Lonchura striata: one gene and its partners. The protein of the gene in region 2 interacts with the protein of the main gene of each other region in a pairwise test. Links are inferred from orthologs where the notes say so. Each region holds a gene or a part of one and is shown on either strand. Other genes may lie near its edges.

Region 1 (7,589 bases), on a different chromosome or scaffold from region 2:
CCAATCATATAATATGCACTTTTCACCCATGAGCAGCTGCTGAGAGAGCTGAATTTGTTCAGCCTGGAGAAGAGAAGGCAAAGGGATGCTTTACAGCTGCCTAAAACTGCCTGCTGGGAAGGTGTGAGGAGGATAAGCTATACTCTTTGCAGAGCTGTGAAATCACAAATATAAGGAAATAAAATGGACTAAGGGGCATCATACACTGGACTAGGGCACAAAGGGGCTGTGCGATCTCCAGCCTTGAAGGTATTTATCTCTGACCTATTCTGCATTATCTAAGTTGGTTCTGGTTCAAGCATGGGATGGATCTAGAGGCCTCCAAAGCTTCCTTCCTACCTGAATTATTTTGTATTTAAGTGATTCTGTCAGGATTTTTGTGTGCCTCACACAAAAACCAAACCAAACCAAAACAACAACAACAAAAACCCTCATACCACTTAACTAAAAAATCATTAAACATTTGTAAAGGAGCTAAGAAACCCAGCCCTGTTTCCAAGTTTGACAAGAGACTTGCTGTGCAACCCTTAGGAAAATATGTAACATTGGAAAGAAGAGGTTTGTCTTGTGTGAGGTCAATAGAGTTGGCTGAGTGGAAAACAAAGGGAATGAAGGTGGGGTCTGTTTTAGGAGAGGGAATCCTGTACTCTAGGGATAGGAGAATAATAAGAATGTTCAGTGCTTCTGTTACACAGCCTTGTCCCAGCCCTTTAGCTGAAGGAACCTAAGGCCCACAGGTATCAGAAAGCAATGTCCATTTAGACTTCTGCTCAAAAATCAAACAGAATCCCAATATTTTAATGATCTTGCATTTTTTATTTTTATTATTACACAAATTATTTTTATTATTACACAATTATTACACAATTTTATTTTTATTATTACACAAAAGGTTCAAACATGGAAATCATTTACACCACTCTGCCACACAGACCCTTATCCTCAGTGGCTTCCCAGTCAGCTCTCAGCACGAACAGCACTCAGTGAGTGTGGCAGTTCTCTTACAACAGGGTAAGTTTCCATTAGAGATGTGAATATTATTATTTACAATAGCCCAACAAAGAATAAACACTACACATATTTTGCCACAAGTACAAATCCCATTGACCAGTCTGGACTGGACTGAGAAATAAAAGAAAAATATTATGAAAATTATTAAATATTATTTCTCAGAAATTATCTCCCAGAAGCACAGCTTCACCATATCAAACCCAGCAAGTGTGGAAAGCTACTAAGCATTCAGTTTTCCTGACAAGCCTTTGCACAAGATCATCCTCCAGGAAGGTTCCCTATCTGTTGGGGTTTGTACTTGTCAAAAGAAAGCTATGACAGTAATAGCAAGAAAATTCCATCCTGCCTGAGTATCTTGTAGTTATAAAAAGCATAGGGGGAAAAAAGACAATAATGAAGCATTATACTCTTCTCCCCAAAGGTAAATCTTGGATACATAGTTTTTCTGCCACCCAATTATATTCATCTTCATTCACCACGTATTCTGTGGTAATTATTTATTTGGTCTTCCAGTTCACTGATTCACAGGCCATGATTTTTACTCAGGCAAATGATATCTGAAACAGTGTGAATGTGACAATTGCTCTGCATTCCTCTTGTCCTGGAAAGCACAAACTGATCAGTAGTCTGCATCTGGAATACAGTCTTTTTCTCATGAATTTTACAGAGCAGATGGAACAAATGGAACTTAACTGGGGGCATCAGAAGCTGGAAAACAAAGAGAGTAGGGCTGCCGAGGTTGAAAAAAAGAACTTTATCTGAAATGCCAGTTGGAAAAGGAGGGGGAAGATAGTAACTCAGAGGACAACTGATGTGATGTTCTTAAAAACAGACACTGAGTGTTATTCATACCTGCTTTAGCAACCTTCACCTACCAAAACCAAGTACAACAAAAAGAAACTGCAAATGGTCACACTGCCCTGGGGATGGGTACATGCACCCCTGCTGGATCCTACAGGGGCTACAGGGATGTGTCCTTGGGGCAGCATCCGGCTTCTTCCTGCAAACACTCAATTCTGCTAAAGGAAAAATTAACCCAGGCGGCTGGAGAGAAAGGTACAGTGCAATGGTCCCACCATTGGGAATCAAACCACAGGCAATCTGCAAAACCAGAGTTATGTGCCAGCTGGGAGACAACAAACCCACCACAAAGGATGCCCAGCTTTGGAACTCCAGCTGCAGTCAGCCAGAGTGTCACTGGCCAGGACAGGAACTGGATGAGAGACCACTGTTTATGTAGGTGATGCATGAGACAGAAATCTCTGTTAAGCAAGGCTTTTAGAACTCATTTTTATCATTATTAATTTGAACAGAACATTAACTATGGAACTTTAAATGTATGTCTACATGGTCAAATATCTCTAAAGGAACATAGAGACTTAAAGATGCATAGAAAAGGTTTAGAGAAAATACAAAAATCTAGTCCTTATTTCAGCTGATCAATTTGCTTATCATTATACTGGGCTGTAACCTTGGCTCCAAACTTGCTTCCCATGAATTCCCACCTCTGACAAAGCCGCAATGCTCCTGATTTTTCCATACTCAGCCTCTAGCTGAGCAGCACACATTGTTCTGTGCTGGAATTAAAGTGATTTCTGTGCCTGAAGTGATGTGCACATGTACCTTGGCCAGTCAGAACCATAGATGGCTGATTGGCATCAAAACACGTGTTGGTCTGTCAGGGAAACAGTTCGAGACGTTTTTGTGCTTAGGCCTTATCAACAGAAGCAGTCACTTAATTGTGGCTGTGAGATATTATTGGAGTTTATGTGTGGAAGACAAGATGGATTTTCACATCCTACCAGTTTTAAGAAAATGCTAAACTTTGCACTGGCAAAGTGCATAATTTTTCTGAAGAATTATTGAGGATATTCTCCTACTCTCTGAAGACTGGATATTCTTTCCTCTGATTTCAGAACATAGACTCTCTCATTCCTCACTGTCAAAAGAGGAAGTGTATTGTAATTTCTATGCATTCACTTATGCAATAGTGCGTTCAGGCTAAGAAAAAATACACTTGAAACAAGAAGGATTTTATGTAAGGCTAAATAATATCAATGGTTTAAGCACCTGAAGCAGACACTTTAAAATCACAAATGTTACTTTATTTTCAAAGGGCTTTGTTTTGTGTCCCAATGCCCACAGTGACAGCAGTGATGTCCCAGTTGCTTGACTGTTATAGACTCATGCTTGCAGGATGTCCCTTTGTGGTCTCAGAGATTTCCCATTACTGGTGTCACTGCAGAAACGTAGGGCCAGTGATGGCCATGGGTTCCTCAAGGTGTTCCTGTACCAGCCAAGCCCTCAGGGGTGCTTTGATTATCCAAGATTTTTACTGTAGTAAAATATACACACACATACATATACACTCTGTTTACGGAATCATAGATTCATGGAATGATTTGGGCGATCCTCCAGAAAGGATTCGGAACTGGAGGCACCGGATCTTCCACCCCTGCCATGGGCAGGGACACCTTCCACTGTCCAAGGCTGCTCCAAGCCCTGTCCAACAGTGCCTTGGACACTTCCAGCCACAGCTCCTCTGAGCACCCTGTGCCAGGACTTCAGCATCCTCACAGCGAAGAATTTCTTCTCAATATTCCATCTAAACCTGACCTTCGGCAGTGGGAAGCTGTTATGTGTAATAAATATAATTCGCACCATTCCTCGTATGAAATATGTAATATTGGATATTTGTTAAATCATGCCCGTTGTATTAGCTCCCCCCCGCCCCCCCTTTGCAGGCCAGACTGGGTGTATATTGGAAACTGATTTACCAGTAAAAGGATGTGGCTCGGCCAGGAGATGGGCCATGTCTGGGCTCCAGGTGTTGATCATCACTATCATCAGTGCTGATCGTCCAAGATGGATATCATGGAAATCCTCAGACAGATTCATGTGAATGCAGCCTTCCCGTAAACTCTCATCAAGAATTCAACTACTCTGGACATTGAATTATTTCTCCTCATCACCAAAAAAAAGAAAACCTATAGACTCTGAATAGAAGAAAAGACTAACTGCTCAAATCTTGGCCTCAGGTGGAATTTTCCCTATAAAAACCGCCTGTGCCAGGATGGAAGTGTGTGGGCATAGGGGAAAACCTCTGCTGAGGCTGACTCCTTGTTGCACATCCAGGGTCGATCCCGGGCTCGGCTCTGTCCTTTCCGTGTGGCTGACTAAATAGAATTTGACCGCAAATAAAATGATTTTTATTTTTAATCTGGCTGAATAAATTCTCATTTATAACAGAAGCCATTGTCCCTTGTCCTGTCACTCCCCTTATTCAAAATCCCTCTCCAGCTCCCTCGAAGCCCCTTCCGGCACTCAGAAGGCGCTCTGAGTTTTCCCTGGAGCTTTCTCTTCCCCGGATGAACACCTCCAGCCCTCCCAGGCTGGCTCCAGAGGATATGGAATTCTACTCGTCGCCGTGAATTTCACGGCCTCTCATTGTCCCTCACGGTCCCTGCCGGTCACTCCCTGTGGCCCGCGCCGAGCATGCGCAATGCATGGCGCAGGGCACGGTGGGAGTTGTAGTCCTTGCGCAGCAGCCGGGGGACTCGGCGCCTGCGCACATCGCGCCCGACTTTGCTAAGTCGCTGCCGGAGGCCGGGCGGGCCGCGCTGCCATCTTGGACCTGAGGGACGGGGGAGCCGCGGCCGGTGAGCGGAGCGGGGCCGGGAGGTGGAGGCACGGGGGTAGCGCTGGTGACGGGACGCGGCGGGGAGACACGGGGGACGCGGGGACACCGCGGTCGGGCCCGGATCCGGAGGGGCCGCTCGGCCCGGGAGGGGCTCGCTGAGGGCGGACCCGCCGCTCTGTGCCCGGGCCCCGCGGGGCAGCGCCCGGCGCGGGGCGGCGCAGCGCCCTGCCGGGACCCCCGCGCTGTCTGCCCCACCGCCCGGCCGCGGCTGCCGGGGGCACCTGCCCGCACCCCGGTGCCTCCAGTTCCGAATCCTTTCCGGAGGCTCGCTCCGTTCAGGGCTGTGCTTTCCGCAGCTCTTCCAGCACAGCCTCCTTCCCCGGTGTGCGTCCCCCCTGTCGCGGGGCTTCTTCCAGGTGTCCGGGCGTTCCGTGTCTTTATCTCGGCCGGGTAAGCCGGACATTGGAGGAATGTGTCCTGGCGATAAAGCGTGACTACAGCCAGAGGTTTATCCCGAACTGTGTTCCCTCTTGTAAACACGGCAGAATGGCAACGTTAGTGCCACCGCTCTATTTTGGAAACGCGGACAAGTTCTGGCTGTTAACTCTTCCGCTGCCACGCCGGTTATCTTTGACCTTGTGTGCCAATGCTGTCGAGATAAAAGCAGACAAAGGTGTTCGAGGATGGATTTCTCTAATTTGCTCTAATATTAGAGAATTCAGCTTGTTTTAATTGCTATAATTTGTGATGTTAAATTGTCAGAAGACCTTCTGATCTGTGTGTGATGCAGAGAAAGGGGCAGGTGTAGCTTTTGGGATACCTGTGTTGTGGCAGCCTTATCCCTTGATGCTTCAGGAAATATCCCTGGCAAAACTTACCTTTATAGCCTAGTTAGAATTGAAGAAGTCAGAAACCGGGATATTTTAGACTGTCTTTTCCCAATATATGGCTGCTTATTGCCATGAGTTTCTCAATGTTTTGTTTAGTCTCTGTTACCCTGCCTGTCAACCTTTCCAAAGAGAAGTGGAGAGACATTTGGACTGGTATTTGAAAGAAGGCATTCTCTGCTGAGGGAGTGACAGTAGATTCAGCAATTGCTTGTATTTACCTGAGAAAAGGCACAGGTGTTTAAGAATGAAACATGAATCACAGGCCATCTAAGGTTCATCTTTTAATGCTTAAAAATGTATTGTTGGAAAAAACAGTAAATTCTTTCCTGTTTTCTTGAAGTGAAAGTCCAAAGCAGTTGTAATTTAATTACAATTACCTTGCTATTCACTACAGCTGTTTAAGTCTGGACTGTGACTAGTGTGCATTCTTAGTTGTGATTTAGGTGGCATTTAATCACTATACTGAATCCATTCACCTCCAAATGATCTTTGGAATAATATGTAGCATTCAGACCCAAAGTGAGTTTTCTTGTCTTTGAAACAACAACAGTAGATGTGAAAGATAATTTTGGAATGGAAAATAACTGAGACTTCTGAGTGCTAACTTTAAAAGCTTCTTACAGATTAAAGTTATTTTGGGGCTTAAGAGAAATTGAGAGGAGATTATTTATATTAATTTATTAATTAAGCAGCATCACCTCTTTTTCTTCCATCAGTTTTCTCTCCCTTCTTAAAGTTATATTTCTTGTGTTGTGACACAGACCTGAAACATGAATTACCTTATTTCTTTGTTTTAAAGTTTCAAAATGGTTTGGGGAAAACTACAGCATAAGGTAATAGGAAGAAAGGCAGTAAAGTAGCATAGTGTTTGTCTTGAGGAGATTAAATTTATAATTTTTTTTTAAGAGAGCTTGTCATAGACTGCTTGAAAAATGTTTCATGAGAGATTTACAAAGTAATTTCCTTCTATTTTACAACATGTGAAAGAGATGCTTGGCAGCAGCATTATCAGTATCAGTCAATTATAGTGTCTAAATAAACATATTTTGTGAGTTTAAGCTGTTTAAACAAAGTGATAAATATATTCAGCCATAGTGAAGTACTTTTCAAGCAGTAAAACCAATTTGATTTCTTCTTAAAAGCAAGGAAAAGAGTCTGCAGGGTGAGAGTAACAGAAAAAGCCCTTGCACATGGAAACAATTAAGCTTCTGGGAGTTTATTTTTAAGCTTTTCTCTTTGGGTGTCCGCTTATGTTTGTGTAATGTTCTAGTTTTTATCATTCTACTGTACTTACATGTAATTGCAGGAACTTCTTTGTGCCCTCACAGCTGAGGAAAGTGAAGGTGTGTGCATAACCCAGAGGAGTGTTGGCCACAGCTCCTTACTGTAACTGTACTTTGCCCAGCTGCAGAAGCATTTTGAAGTGAGTGCTTTCCTCAGAAGAGGACGTAGACAAGTCATGATTATAGTCTAGCTTGGGAGTATTCTGGAAATTTAGTTTTACTGTCTCATAACTTGAGTATTTTTAAAGACTGTAGGCAGTCCTTCTTTGGCTTGGTTGTACTGTTAGCTGAGCTAAATCTGTGTGCACATTTTGGTGAGAGTCTTCTCTCTGAAGACTAAAGCAACAGAGACTTGGTCAATTAGAGTCTCTAAGTTGATGACATTTAGGTTACACTGTAGTGCAGAGTTGCTGGAGCTGAAGGATTGATAATTTTTCTTCATGAGAATTGCAAATTACACATAATAGAAATGAAAGTATTGCAGCAAACTGGAAAAGAGTGTTTTGAAGAAGCCAAGGCCCTGTTTCAAAAGACCAGCTCTCAAGTTATGCCTGGAATTTCTGCTTTTACTATACCAAAGCACAGCAGGGTTTTTTTCTCCCCTCTGAGGAAACATGATACCACATCTTGTTGTGCTGGTTATTCAAATAGTTTTTCAAACTTGGCAGCACGTTGCTGTTATTAAAAAAAAGTTTTATTTTACTCCTCCTGTTTAGGAACGGATAGTTTCTGCCTTCCACCCACCCGCCTGAGCTATTCTCAACT
Region 2 (7,294 bases):
TGAGACCAATAGGCTGGTGGACTCCAGCAGCAGTGGGGAGCTGCTGCAGAGTCCCAGGACATTGTGCCAGAGCAGCTGGAAGTGTCAACCAAGGCCTGGTTGAACAGGGCTTGGAGTAACCTGGTCTGGAGGAAGGCATCCCTGCCCGTGGTAGGAGGAGGAATGAGATGGTCTTTAAGGTCCCTTCCAACCCAAACCAGTCTATAATTCTATCATGTATTGATCCCAGAGATTTGTACTCCACTGGTGGGACATCCAGCTCCACCCTTGGGGAAGCTGCCTGGGAGCTGCCTTGCAGATGAACCCACAGAAGGGGCACAGGGGACTTTGGCTGTGGCCTCCTGCGAGGAGAGAGACTCTGCAGGGAGGTGTGGCTGAACGGTACCACCTCTGCCTGAACTGCTGGAAGGTGTCAGCCTGAAACAAATGAGTAATTGTTGTTGCTGTTGGTATCAGATGACGTAGTTTACCCGCCGGCAAATCAGCTGAGAAGAGATGAGGCACTGAGTGAAGCAGGGAAATTATTTAGAAAGGTAATAAACCTGTGTAATATAAATATATTAAGGTAATGGATTTTATGTACACAGGAATACAGAATGGCTGTCAGTGGTGTAGGTAGCACGGGGAGCCCACCACGACAGTTCACATGTGTCTTTTTTCGTTCAAAGGAAACTTTAGAAACCTAAAGGTCAACTTGCACAAAGCTCTGCTGCTTTACTTCCCCCTCCATCACAGCCGCTCCGGTGCCTGCCCTTATGGGGCGGGGTGGGCTCACGCCAGTCACGCCCTCGCCAAACCAAGTAGGAGTGGGGGGAGAGATTGCAAACGCAAAAGAGAATTTGAGGGCGGAGAGACAGACTCATCTTGTCACAAGAGAGCAGGAGAGGCTCTGGGTGTCCCCGCGGTGCCGCCTGCCAGGCTCGCCCCTGTCCCCTGCAGCCGCGGGGCAGGTGGAAATGACCTGGAGGTACGAAGTGCCCCAGGGGAGCCGCGCCGCTGCCGCCGCCGGGAACGCGGCGTCAGCCACGGCCCGGGTGCGCCCAGGCATTTCCGCGCTGCCTCTCCCGGAGCAGCCCCGGCGCAGGGGAAACTGAGGCACGCTCAGGTGGGGCTGCGCCTCCTCCGTGTCAGCGTCCGCGTCTGGAAACTCCTGGAAAGACAAGAGGGGAACAAACAGAAGTGACAAGCAATGTCTGTGACTTAATGGTGGAGGCTTGTGCGTCTCGCACTTGCGGCCACAGCTGAGCCCTCCGTGGGCACATTTTCCCCACATGTGGCACCACTGACAGCTGCTCTGCCAGCACCTGTGCTTCCAGCTCGTCTGTGCTGCTGGCAAAGCCCGGCTCAGGTGCTGCTGAGAGGGAGTTTATTGATAATTTTTTTCCCTTTTAATAACTACTATGTTCTTTGTCAGAAAATTTCATGTTCCTTGAAGTTAGGGGAATGTGGTGACATCTGAAAGGAAAATTTTATTCTAGAGCTTGTCTTGACATTTTTCTTCTCTCTTTTTAAATTTCCCTTTTAATAAGGGGGAAGGGAAGCAGGGAGAGCACACAGAATGCAGAGGAAGTGAGATTTCCCACCACAACAACAAAACTCTTCAAAACATTTTTTTTTTTTAAGCAAAACAATAGTCAAAAATATCAGAAAGCAAACCATGGCAGTTTACTAAACATCCTTAGCTTACTTTTTTTTTAAACTGCTCTGAGTTTTAACTCCAATGAGTCCTCACACAAATAGATAAGAGGAATGGCTCTGGGGTGAGCAGGGAGGTAGGAATGTAAATACACGTTTTGACTGCAGTGAGTAAAATCCTCCTGAATATGGCATCACTGGGGGGATGATGGGCGCCCTGGCACTGCAGGCATTGTATACATTGAATTATAGAGTCACAGACTGGTTTGGGAACTTAAAGATCATCTCTCATTGCATCCCCTGCCATGGGCAGGGACACCTTACACTATATCCTAGGATGTTTCAATCTCTGTCCAGCCTGGCCTTGCACAATTCCAGGAATCCAGGGGCAGCCACAGCTCCTCTGGGGGACCTGTGCCAGGGCCTCATCTCCTCTGGGGAACCTGTGCCAGGGCCTCACCTTCCCCTAAGAAGGATTTTTCTTCCTAACATCCAATCTAACCCTGCTCTCTGTCAGTTTAAAACCACTGTCCCTTGTCTTGTCACTACCTAGCCATATAAAAAGTCCCTCTCTTTCCATTTTTTAAAGCCTCCTTAAGATACTAGAAGGCTGTAATGGAGTCTCCCTGAAACCTTTTCTTCTCCATGCTTCAATTATATCAATCCAGTTACATTTTACAGACTGCTCTACCCAGTGTAGCTGTGATCCAGGGGATGGAGCTGTCCTGTGGCATTGCTGCTGGCCATGGCATGACGAGGGACTCTGTGTATCTTAGCACAAATCCTTGCAGAACTGAAGCTGTGCCTGGGTGCTTTTGTTCAGCTCCTGATGCAGGAATCCTTTTTACTCACGTTGTGACCTTGGGCGAGCAACTTTGCTGTGCTTAAAATTATCTTCTCTGCAAACAAAGTGCATAAATCTCCATGTCAGGTGAAGCTGCAGCATGGCACAAGGGGCTTGGGTTTGGTGAAGGGTTTTTCCACCCTGAGTTGTCACATGTGTGGTGTCCCTCTTGGGCAAGGGTGCCAGTGCTGCCCCAGAGATGGTGTAGCCCTAATTGTGCCTCAAAGCATGATCCTTTGGCTACTTTCCATGGGGAAAAAGGGTTCAGTAAAATCTGCTGTAGCTCAGGGTGTTTTCAACCCCCCTCTCTTCTCCTAATTTGCTTGGTTTTGCTGGCAGAGCTAAATAGGGGCTGCAGAGACTGATGAAAGAGGCTGCAGGCTCGTCTTACAAAATAAAAAGGCTGGAGCAAATTGGCGTGCCTAGCCTGGGAAAACAGAAGCTAAGGGCAGCACAAGGAGAGCGGTGTGCGGACGGATCCCAGGGTACGCCCTGCGGGAGGAGATGAGCTGCAGAAAGCCTTGGCACAAGACTGTTGTGTGTCTGTAGCCTGTGACTACACGCAGCCTGGAAACCAGAGGAGGAGGGAGGCCCTGGAAAGGCTTCCCAGCAGGAGCCCTGTGTGCCTGGAGCACACGAACTCCTTTGGTACCTTGTGAGGGTTTTCAGGTTGCCAGAGCCACCACAAGGCAGCACGGAGAGTCCCACAGCCCCACATCCCCAGGCTGGTGTCACTGTGGGGCCGTGGGAGGATGTCTGTCTGTCCAGCCAGGTCTGGGCTGGGTGTGCTCTGCAGATAAACAGCTCCTTTTACACTTATTCATTCTGCCTGTGTACACAGCCTGCTCGCCAGCGGCCGGGAGGTGCCTTTTCCTGGCGCTGCCTTTGGTGTGGGTTTTACAGATGGTTTTTATTCAATCAGGCAGAGATGAGGGGAGAACATGGCAAATGTATGAAGTGCGCTGGTCATCCCTGGCTTCCTGGAACACTCTGACCTTCACCCACTGATCCACAGAGAGTACGGGGTCATCAATGACTCTTCAGCCCCAGTCCCAGTTTGTTGTCAGGTCCCTTGTATTTGCCTCTTACAGGACACTTAAAGCAACTGGGGTCATACAAACAGGAGCAGGGAGAGGTGACAGCTGGGGCTGGAGAATTACAGGGAGGAAATGAGATTAGAGGGAGCAGGGATCACCAGGAGGCAAGACGGCCCTGTGTTGGGCAGTCAGCTCCTTCCCCCAGAGCCCGACCCCACAACCACTCCTTTCCCCCAGAGCCCGACCCCACAACCACTCCTTTCCCCCAGAGCCCGACCCCACAACCACTCCTTTCCCTCACATCCGACCCCACAACCCCTTCTTTCCCTCAGAGCCTGCCCCAACCACTTCTCTCCCTCAGAGCCCAGCCCCACAGTGGCTCCTTTCCCTCCCAGCCTGACCCCACAACCTGCTCCTTCCCTCAGAGCAGTCAGGGACCCACCATTCTCTTTCCCTCACAGCTCAGCCCCACAATCTGCTCCTTCCCTCCCAGCCTGACCTCACAGGCAATCCCTTCCCTCCCAGCACAGCCCAGCCCCTGAAGCTGCCCTTTCCTCCACGGCTCCTTCCCTTCTAATAGTCAGGGCTGCATCAGCTACCCCTTACTCCATAGCCCGACCCTGCAGCAATGAGGGGTCCATCAGCTACCCTTCCCTCACAGCCTGGCCGCACAATTGCCCCGTTCCCCGGGCACTCGGCACCCCCGCACTCGCGGCGCCGGGCCCGCCCCGCTCCCTCAGCGCGGCCGGGGCGGGGCGGGCCGGGGCGGTCCCGCCCGCCGGGGCCGGCACAGCGCGGGCCGCAGGTGCGAGCGGAGCGGAGCGGAGCGGAGCGGCCGGGCCGGCGCGGCCATGGGCAAGGTGCAGCTCTTCGAGATCCGCCTGGGCGACAGCCGCGTCGTCTACAGCCCCGGCGAGCCGCTGGCCGGCACCGTCACCGTGCGGCTCTCGGGCTCGCTGCAGTACCGAGGTGAGCCCGCGGCCTGCCGTGCCCCGCGGGGCGGATATCCCGGGGAGGGGCTCGCGGGCTGCCCCGGCCCGCGGCCGGGCTTCCTCCCCCGGCTCTGCGGACCGGCGGCTCCGGGGCTGCCCCATCGCTGCCGCCCCCGCTGCCATGCGGCGGCCGGGAGGGGCTGATGGGAGCAACCTGCTGGATTATTTCCTCCTTCCTCCGCTTCCTCCTCTTACTTTTTGCTCCTATCCCATAAAATAAGGAAACATCCTCCCAACCCCCTTCCCACAACGCCCCAGCGCGGGGCTGTGCCACGGCAGCCTCCGGAGCTGGCGGGTGCCCAGGGTGGCAGCGGGAGGTGGCGGAGGGGCTCGCCCGTCTCGTTCGGCTTTCCCGGAGTCCTGCGGCTTCCCAGGGCTGCCGGCATCGCCCCGGCACAGCCCCGAGCCTGGTGCCCTGGGTCGGACGGACGCGAATGTGTTGGGCAGGGAACTGGGCGGAGGTGGGCGATGCCGTGTCCCGGCAGGAGCGGCACCCACCCACCGGCTCGCAGGCACCGTCCGCAGCCAGCAGCCGTGTTGTAACGTCTCGAATGAACTGGGGCATTGGAGTTGTGGCTCTGCGAGTGTGGGAGATGTCCGCGGTGTGTACGAGGTCCTGTGAGTGCCAGCAGTGGTCTGGAGCAGGAGTTGTTGTTGCTCCACGCAAGGCTCAGGCCATGCTCGTGGCTGGTGCAGTCCGTCGGAGCAGAGGGATGGGGCTGGACTGCAGGGAAATGAGCTGGCTGGGCTCGGATCATCCAAACTGGGAGCTTCCTCCCCCGCCTGAGAGAAGTCATTCGCATTTGCAAGTCAGCTTTGTGCTCAGTGCTGTGGAAATGTGAACCAATTTGCTGTTTTCCCTGAGGTCTTGCTTGCTTCTCGTGTGTGCATGCTGCTTCCTTTGTAACAAATTATTGGAGGGGGGAAAAAAGACCAAGTAATGTAAAATGTGAAGTCTCTGTTCAAGAGCTGTCAGCCTGGATGATGGTGCCTCTGCCTGCCGGTGCCTTGCTTTTGAGAGCACCTCTCCCAGTTGTCTGCAATAGCTTTTGGAAGCTTCTTGTGGAAAAAAAAAGTATCTAGGACAAGTGTAAACTTGTAGCCTGTTAAACTCCTGTCAGAGCAAAACAGTCGCAGATCCAGCGTTTATCTCCTTGGAGAATACTCCTGGATGCACTTCCAGCAAAGATGTTCCTAATGAAGTCTGGCTGACTTCCCTCGGCCCATCCCATTGACTTCCATCCATTCCTGAAGGTGCTTCTTGGGAGGGATGAGAGTTTGGCCTTAGAGGGTTTGGTGTGCTGGCCCTTTGTGCTGCCAGCTGGCCAAAACTACTTGCTGCTGCCTCTACAACTCCCATTTGAGGAGGACCTGCCAGGTTCTATTCTACACCAGCTCTCCTCTGCTTCCTGGTGTTGTTGTAGGGAAGGAGAAAGGCTTCTCTTTGTTCTAGACCTCCTTTCTGCATCCTTATTGCCTTGATTCGGAGAAGTATCAGGGTCTGGTGTTAAGTACAGGTCCTGAACTCAGGAGGGGTTTTGCTGTGGGATCTGGTGTTTGGGGCTAGTGCAGGGATTCTGGTAAGAGCTGGGTAAGAGCTCTAGGAAAGCTGTCAGATGCATTGAGCCGAAATCTGATGTGGGCTCCATGTGATTGATGCTTCTGTTGTGCTGAGATCACTGAGCAGCTCTTCTAGACTGTTTCATGTACAGTGGCTTCATGAGCTGGGCTAGAAACTTTCCATTACTGGTGTCAGAACTCACCCAGTTAAGTCACATTTGGGTGTGAAACCAACTTCTGCCAAGCACAGGGTGACACTTTGCTGTGTGTTCTCCCTCCTGCTGGTGCTTAAACCTTCCATACTTCATTTCTTGGGCACCCTCTCCTTCTTCCTGGATGAAGGAAGTGTCCCACCCTCAGAGGAAGAGGTTCCTGTAGCTGCTTGAAACATCCTTTTGCTGTAACAGCAAAAGAGATCTTAAAGAGACTTGTGAGCCCTGTTGAGCACTGTGGGCTCGGCACTAGAGGGATCAGACAACCTGACATCCTCTGGCTTCCTACTGGGCTGTGAGGAGAGCTGTGTGGAATCAACTCATTTTACATTGTATATGCCCCCCCACACCTTCTGTGGCCAACTGTGACTTTCCAGGCTAATAAACTGCTTCCAGGAGAAGACACAAAGTCTCACCCCTGGCAGGTCTGGCCCTCAGCACCACGATTTGGTGCTTTCCATTTCCTGAGCCAGGCGAGTCTGGCGCGGTGACTTCTCGGTGCTGTGGTGTGTGAGATCACAGCCGGAACCAGCCTGGAGGTGACTCCTCACACGGTAACTTCTGGCTCTTGCAAATTACACCTTCTGAAAGGTGACAGTGCAAACAAACACAGCTCGTTGTGCCTTGCTAAACACGGGGGAAATCTTGGGTCATGGGGCAGCGTAGCTGGGGACACACCTTTTTGGGATCATTGATGTTCCCACTTAGACTGGCGTCAGTGCCAGCCCTGCTGACTGGCACTGAGGGCTGTTCTGGAGCACATCTTCTTCAGCTGACCTTGCAGCAGCATCACAAATACTGACTGGTCCTTGGTGACTCATGTGGACCTTCTGAGGAGCCACATTTCTTCCTGTGCCTGTGCCAGGGTGAGGGACCTGCCCAGAAAACTTCTGAGCCTCAGGGGAGAGCGCTGATGGAAATGGAGAATTCCTGATCATTGTGCCTGGTTTGCTGGGTAAATCATCAAACGTGTGTGCACAAAGAATAATTAATCTTACAGGAAGCTTGCGCAGG
Region 3 (7,089 bases), on a different chromosome or scaffold from region 2:
AGGGAGGGCTCCTGTGTTCACCTGACAGGGAAAAGGCCTTGGCTTTGTTTTGCCACGGAGCTGCCCGTTGGGAAAACGTGTCCAGAGGGAAGTTCCTGTTTGGAAGTGGCTCTTTGGGTGTTGCAGAACTGGGATCCCCATCCAGTATCCTTAGCAGCCTGCAGCATTCCTGAGGCTTCTTTATTCTGGATAAAAGGAGGCAATTTGAATTATTTCCATCTGAGCTGATGCTGAGTTAAGCTCCAACCCCTGCAGAGCAGAGCTCCAACCTCTGTCCCTGCACCTCAGGTGGGCTCTCCCTGCCTGCCAGAAGTTCTGGGTGCACCCTCGACCGCTGAGCTGCCTCTTCTGTGTCCTGCAATGTGAAAGTAGCACCAGATACTCCTTCGTGCAGTTCTGTGTATATGGCTTTCGTAGGTGGGTTTTCCAAGCACTGATTCCCGGTGTTTTCAGTTTGTCTATGAGGGGATATTTTATTTGCATCTATGTTTTTAGCTCTCCTGTGATAACTTGTTGAATATTAAAAAAAAAAATATTTTGCTTCTATTGGGACATTTGTATACTCGCAACTATATTTCTGTAAACAGCTGCAGTCGAGAATAAACGATGAAAGTTTTCATTTTACACTGTAAAGTCTTGTGATGGTTTTTCCAAGGGCATCTCCAGAGCCGTGCCTGGGGTGCTGCAGCTGCTGCAGGAGAACGTCCTGGGGAACCACACTGACTCGGTGGTGTGGGACCCCAGTAACCCCTGGGGGCTGCCCAACCCAGCCCCCAGCTTGTGACCAAGGGAACAGTTCCCAAAGGAACAGCTTCCAGAGCCTGGGATGTCATTTTGGGGACTGGGGGAGAGGCAGTCTGCCCAGAGAGGTGAGGCCAGGAGTCCAAAGCCAAGATGCTGCAGTGACCCCATCCTCAGCAGGATGTGAGCGTGCCTTACCCAGTGCCCTTTATCTGCAGCTTTGGCAGCCTGGAAGTGCCCTGGGGCTGGGGAGGCCCAGCTGTGCTCCCCTTGGCTGTTCCCAACCTGTGACCTCCCCAGCACCAGGGGCCACAGCTGCTGTCAGGCATTTCCTTATTTTGAACAATTTCAGCAGGGCTAAGGAGAAACTGCAGCAAGAGCCGGGACCAACAGTCAGCTGTGAAAGATTTCAGCAGATCCCAGAGTTTCCCCCTTCAGCCATGGGCATCGCCCAGTGCAAGGGTGGGACACAAGCCCCTGCCCTGGGGTTTTGTCCTTCTGTAGCTCATTATCCCGTGGGACAAACGATCCAAGAACTCCTCCCTCCCTCCGTCCCAGCCTCCTTTTTCCTCGAGGCTCAGAGAAAGGCACAGGCAGCCGCAGAAATGGGACTGAGCCACGGTGCTTTGGGGTTTGGTGTTTATTGGGTGACACAGCCCCTGCCCGGGGGTGCCCAGGGAAGCCCCCGCGCCCTCCCCGTGCTGGGGCCTCCCCAAACCCGTCACCCCCGTCACGGCGGCTCTGGGCACCAGCGCAGCGGGGACAGGACGGCCTGAGCCGTGCCAGGTGCTGGGAGCGGCCCTGGCAGAGCCAGCACCAGCCCTGGGCAGGTGTGCCCGGGGCCCGTCCCGCCCTCACCTCCTCCTCACGAACTTCTTGGTGACGGCGTTGGGGTTGAGGCGGCGGCGGCCGGCGCCCAGGGCGGCGTCGCGCAGCTGCAGGTGCGCGGCCCGGCTGTGCACGTCGTTCTCGGCGAAGGGGGAGGCCCCGGCCAGGTAGTCGGGGTCGAAGACGTCGGTTTTCTGCCGGGCCTTGCGGGACAGGCGCTGCTGCGGGAAGCGCTGGTCCTCCACCAGGTGCGGGTTGTTGGCGTGCTTGCCGCCCTGCGGCGCCGGCAGCGGGTACTGCGGGAGAGCGGGGTCAGCCCCGGCTCCGGGGACCCCAGGTGACCCCAGCCCCAGAGCCCTGGGGTCCAAGGGCAACATCTGGAGGATGTTAGCAGTTTGCTTTGATTCCTTCCAGCCTGCCAGCCACAGGCCGGGCTCCCATCCCTGGGATCCCAGTGGAAGAATTCCTTCACAGAAAGAGTTGTTCAAGGTGGGAAGGGGTGCCCAGGGAGGAGGTGGGGTCCCCATCCTGGGAGGCGTGCAAGGAAATGACTGGACCTGGCACTGAGTGCTCAGGGCTGGCTGACAAGGGGAGGATTAGTCCCAAGTTGGATTTGATGCTCTTGCTGGTCCTTTCCAACCTCAGCGAGTCTGGGGTTCTGTCCAGGTACTCACCCTGAGCCCCCGGGGGTTCAGCACCTTGGGGTTGCGGGAGAAGTGCATGTGGAGACTCCCGTCGTCGCTGACGCTCACTGCCACCTTCTTGAGCGTCTTGTTACCGCAGTGGGGGCAGAACACCTTGGTCATGTCCGAGGTGGTCCTGCGAGGGGGGCACGGGGGGTTCAGAGCTCCTGGGGCCGTGAACACAGGCTCAGCCCGGGCTCAGCCCCAGCCCTGGCACCTGAAGCAGCCGTGGCAGCGCAGGATGTAGCTGCGGGCCCGGCGGATCAGCATCCCGTTCACGGCCAGCACGTGGAGACCCATCTGCAGCAGCACGTTCTGCGAGAGCGGGGACACAGCTGGGACCTGCAGCTGGGGCACTCGGAGCCCTGCAGGCTCTGCAAGGCCTCTGGGACTGAGACCCTGCTGCGTGACACACGGAGCTGTCCCAGAGCCCTGCAGCTCGGCACCCACCTGCATGGCAAAGTCCGTGGTGACACAGCCCACCTGGACACCGACGGGAGCAGTGTCACAGTGCCCCGCGTCCAGCTGGGCCTGCTTCAGGTTGCTGGGAGTTATCCAGCCTTCGTCATCGCTCTCCTCATCCTCCTCCTCCTCCTCCTCCTCCTCCTCCTCTTCGCCGGCGCTGGTCCCGTCTGCAGGGCCCCGGCGCTCCTCGGGGGGCTCGGGGCTGCCGGTGATGGCCTGGGCCGCGGGGGGAGATGGTCAGGGCGGCCCGGAGGGTCGGAACGACCCGGCAGAGAGGCAGAGCGAGACTGCAGAAGGTTCTCACCAGCAGCTCCTGCAGCTCCTCCTCGATGCTGGGCAGGGGCGGCCGCCAGTACAGGAAGGAGCCGAACTCGTCGCTCTCGGCCGGGGCCGGGGCCGGGCCGGGCTGGCGGGGACCCTTCCCCGCGGGTTTGTGCTGGGGGCACACACGGGCGAGCTCAGCCGCGGCTCCGCGGGGCCGGGCTCGCCCTCCCGCCGGGCCTTACCTTGGCGGGCAGGTGGAAACCGGCGAGGTGCAGGGGAGCCTCGGGGTGCCGCAGGGTGGAGCTGAGCCGCACCTGGGGGCGGCACGGGCCGTCGGTGGGGCTCTGGAACCGGGGCCCGGGCCCCGCTGGAACCGGGGCTCCGTGTCCCGCTGGAACTGGGGCCCGGGCCCCGCTGGAACCGGGACCCCGCGCCCATCCTACCTTATCCTGCGGCTCCCAGCGGATGCTGCCGGGGCCGTGGATCTCGGCCTGCAGCTGGCAGGTGAGGGCGAGCACCTGCAGGTCGGCGGCCGAGAGGCTCGGGTAGTCCCCGGTCTTCTTGGAGAACTCGGTCACTGCGGGCGGAGCAGCGGCGCCGTCAGGCCGGGCCGGGCCGGGCGGGGAAGGGGCCGGGCGGGGAAGGGGCCGGGCGGGCCCTGCCGCACTCACCGAGCCGCAGCAGGTCGGGGCGCGGGCGGCGCACCCGCAGCTCGCAGGGCAGCGCGGCCAGGCGGCGGCGCGCCCGCCGGTCGCGGATCTCGGCCAGCACCTCGGGCACGGTGTACAGCGCGTCCGCCACGTCCTGCGGGCAGCGCCGTCACACCGGCCCGCAGCCCCTCACCCTCCCCACCCCCGTCCCCGCGGTGTCCCCGCGGTGTCCCCGCGGTGTCCCCGCTGTCCCCCTGTCCCCGGTACCTGCAGCGGGGCCGCGCTCAGGAACGCGCCCGTGTCGGCCACGACGTGCGGAACACGCGCCATGTCCGCGCGCCCCGTGGCCCGGCCCGGCCGCCGTCGCGGCGCCGCGGGGGGCACGCCGGGAGTTGTGGTCCGGGCACGGGGCACGCCGGGAGTTGTAGTTCGGCCGGGCACGCCGGGAGCGGCGCCGCGCCGCGGGAGCGCTTCCGGCCGGCGCGGTCACGTGACGGGCCGGGGTCACATGACGGCGGGAGCCGGAGCCGGGCAGCGGGAGAGGAGCGGCTGCCGGTAACGGGACCGGGACGGGAACGGGACGGGGACGGGGACGGGGACGGGGACGGGGACGGGAACGGGAACGGGACCGGGAACGGAACGGGACGGGAACGGGAACGGGACCGGGACCGGAACCGGGACCGGGGACGGGAACGGAAAAGGGAACGGGAACGGGACGGAATCGGAATGGGAACGGGATGGGACCGGGACGGGAACGGGAACGGAAAAGGGAACGGGAACGGGACGGAATCGGAATGGGGACGGGAACCGGAACGGGGACGGGACGGGCTCGGCTCGGTTTCGCTTCCCGGCCCAGCCTGGGGCGCTCCCGTCCATCGGGCGGACACGGCCCGGTGGGGCGCTCCGGCCGCCGGGAGCTGCTCAGCTGTGCCGGTCCCGGCCCGGTACCGGCGGGGCCGCGGGCAGCCCCTTCGCCGCCGCCTCCCGTGCGCGGTGCCTGCCGCGCCCGGCCCGGCTCTGTGCGGGGCCGGTCCCGGTCCCGGTTCGGTGTCGGCCGCCCGGGCGCGGCCCCGCGGCTGTCCCGAGGCCGGGCCGGGCTGGCGGAACGGGGAGCCCGGGAGGAAGGGCGGCCCCGGCCCGGCCGAGGGGATCCCGCCGGGCGGAGGGGGCGGGAGCGCCCCGGGGCCGGCCCGGTCACGGCCCCGCCGCGCTGGGGGTGCCCGGGGAGCGGCAGCGGGCACCGGGCGATGTCCGGGAGCCGGAGGTGCTGGCGAGAGCGGCGCTGTCACAGCGAGGGACGGAGAAGTGCGGAGTCGGGGGAAGGGGAAGAGCCGGGAGGGCAAGGAGGGAGGCAGGGAGCCCCGGCGGGGCAGGGCTGGGTACGGCCCCGGTGGAATCCCCGCAGTGGGGAGCTGGGGACGGGAGCAGCAGCAGGATCCGATATCCTCGGGAGCCCGGGGAGAGCCGTGGGCCGGGATGACGGGGATGTGTCCGGGATGGCTGGGATGGGTCCGGGATAGCGGGGATGGGTCTGGGATGGCTGGGATGGGTCTGGGATGGCTGGGATGGGTCCGGGATGGCTGGGATGGGTCCGGGATAGCGGGGATGGGTCTGGGATCCCTGGGGTGGGTCTGGGATCCCTGGGACGAGTGACCCAGGAGGCTGGGCAGTGTCCGGGAACGCTGGCTGCTGCTGGATGGAGCCAGGACAGTGCTCGGGCAGTGCCCAGCGGGCACCTGCAGGCAGAGCTGGGGGCTGTACAGGGCACAGCCAGGCCCTGGGCTGCCAGGCAGGTTTGCTGTGACCCTGGGAGAGGGGATTTCACAGGGATCTGCCCTGGGATGGAGCTTGGGACGGTTCAAGGAGGATGAAGAGAGAGGGCAGGGAAGAGGCTCCTGCACAGGGAGAGGGGCTGGAGCTGCTTCCCCGTTTTCGTGCTTCCCTGTTGGGGAGGGGAGGCTGGCACTGCCTGGCCGGGCGGTTCTGGGCTGGGCTGGGAGCTTGGCTCCCGTGCTCTGCAGCTCCTGGGAGCGGCAGGAGGAGCTGGCTGCTCATCCCTGCGCTCTGCTCGCTGCTTCGGGTACCCGCCCTGGCCACGCGTCCCACGATGGTGCTGGAGGCCTTTCCCAGCCTCAGTGATCCTGTGGGATTAATGAAGCCAGGGCTGCCCTTGAGGTCTGTGGTCCTCATGCTGTGACTAGACCTCTGTCTGTCCAGCTGGTCCTGGCACAGCCATGTCCCCGTGGCACTGCCGTGTCCCCGTGGCACTGCCGTGTCTGCCCGGCACTGCCGTGTCCCTGCCATCATGTGTGCTGAGTCTGTGTCCCCCAGGGCAAGGCTTTGGTGGCTGCTCTGTCCCGCAGCAGCCCTGGGCTGTGGCTCAGGGGTTCAGGTGCCCAGAGAGGTGTTTGGAGTGGCAGTGCCCAGCTCAGCCCGTGGCACTGCCATGCAGGGGCTGCTCTCCCAGGGACACAGCGCTGCCTTTGGCATGGGGGGTTCATCAGGAGAGGAGCCTGTGTGCCCCGGGTCTTGCCCAGCCCTTTTCCGGGCACTGCAGCAGCCTCGGGCCGTGCCTGGGTGCCGTGGCAGCGGGGCTGAGCGGGGCTGAGTGTCTCCTTCTCCTTTCCAGCCGGGGGTGATGCCATGGCCGCTGCCAGCTCCAGCAGGGCCAGGGCCGGGCCGCCCTGCGAGAAGTCCCCGCTGTCTGTGAAAGGTGGGTCCTGCTGCCCCTCCGGGATTGCCCCTGCCGGGAACGTGTCCCGCTCTGCCCGCGGGGAGCAGGGCCCGGGGGTGGTGGCCGCGGGCCCGGGGCCGTGCCGGTGCTGCCGTGGCCGCGAGATGGCTCCCGGCGCCCGGAGCCGCGCCCCGGGGAGCCGCAGCCCGCCCTGCCCCTCCGCCACACCGCCGCCCTGGCGCTGCCCCGGCCCGGCTTGCCCCTGCCCTGGGGCAGGGAGGTGGCCGTGGGGACAGCGACAGTCCCCTCGGAGGGGTGAGGCTGGGACGTGCTCAGGGCTTGATGCCAGCCATCGCTGCCACCAGGAGCATTGCTCCCTGCTGCCCCTCTCCAAGTGCTCTGCTGCGAGTGTGGCACCCGAGCTGGCAGGGGCGGGCTGGGGGACAGGGCAGGGACGGGGCAGGGGTCAGCGTGTCCCGCAGGCCTGACCTGTGCTCGTCCCTGCCCAGTGGTGTCCGTGAAGCCCAAGGCCCAGAGCCGCTCAGCACGGATGAACTGCTATGTGGAGGTGGCTGGCGACGGGCTGCCCAGTGAGACCAAGAAGACGGGGAAGCAGATGGGGGTCTCTGAGCTGCTGTGGAACGAGATCCTCACCCTGTGAGTCTGTGTGACCCCTGGTCAGGGGCCGGCCCCGTGTGCCCTGCCGTGCCACTGGCTGCCACTCGGGTGGCAGAGCTTTGCCCCGTGTACGGGGACACTGCCAGAGACAGCCAGGCTGGGTGGG

What was found. The genes of interacting proteins can lie anywhere in the genome.
Region 1: the proteins of ARRDC1 (region 2) and ITCH interact in binary tests that used the Homo sapiens proteins (3 or more experiments, as listed by UniProt). The link is inferred for Lonchura striata from reciprocal best matches to the Homo sapiens genes ARRDC1 and ITCH.
Region 3: the proteins of ARRDC1 (region 2) and WWP2 interact in binary tests that used the Homo sapiens proteins (3 or more experiments, as listed by UniProt). The link is inferred for Lonchura striata from reciprocal best matches to the Homo sapiens genes ARRDC1 and WWP2.

What each region holds. Positions count from the first base shown.
Region 1 is NC_134619.1:13,573,453-13,581,041, reverse strand, and holds the start of ITCH (E3 ubiquitin-protein ligase Itchy homolog), read left to right. Parts: upstream 1-4,573; 5' UTR 4,574-4,670; intron 4,671-7,589. UniProt on the Homo sapiens protein: Acts as an Acts as an E3 ubiquitin-protein ligase which accepts ubiquitin from an E2 ubiquitin-conjugating enzyme in the form of a thioester and then directly transfers the ubiquitin to targeted substrates.
Region 2 is NC_134624.1:4,150,808-4,158,101, reverse strand, and holds the start of ARRDC1 (arrestin domain-containing protein 1), read left to right. Parts: upstream 1-4,292; 5' UTR 4,293-4,367; coding exon 4,368-4,485; intron 4,486-7,294. UniProt on the Homo sapiens protein: Functions as an adapter recruiting ubiquitin-protein ligases to their specific substrates. Through an ubiquitination-dependent mechanism plays for instance a role in the incorporation of SLC11A2 into extracellular vesicles.
Region 3 is NC_134615.1:23,108,440-23,115,528, forward strand, and holds the start of WWP2 (NEDD4-like E3 ubiquitin-protein ligase WWP2), read left to right. Parts: upstream 1-4,073; 5' UTR 4,074-4,186; intron 4,187-6,260; 5' UTR 6,261-6,274; coding exon 6,275-6,344; intron 6,345-6,814; coding exon 6,815-6,962; intron 6,963-7,089. Other genes in the region: RNA-binding protein NOB1, read right to left, coding at 1,596-1,865, 2,244-2,388, 2,470-2,567, 2,703-2,933, 3,022-3,153, 3,224-3,295, 3,425-3,558, 3,653-3,785 and 1 more. UniProt on the Homo sapiens protein: E3 ubiquitin-protein ligase which accepts ubiquitin from an E2 ubiquitin-conjugating enzyme in the form of a thioester and then directly transfers the ubiquitin to targeted substrates.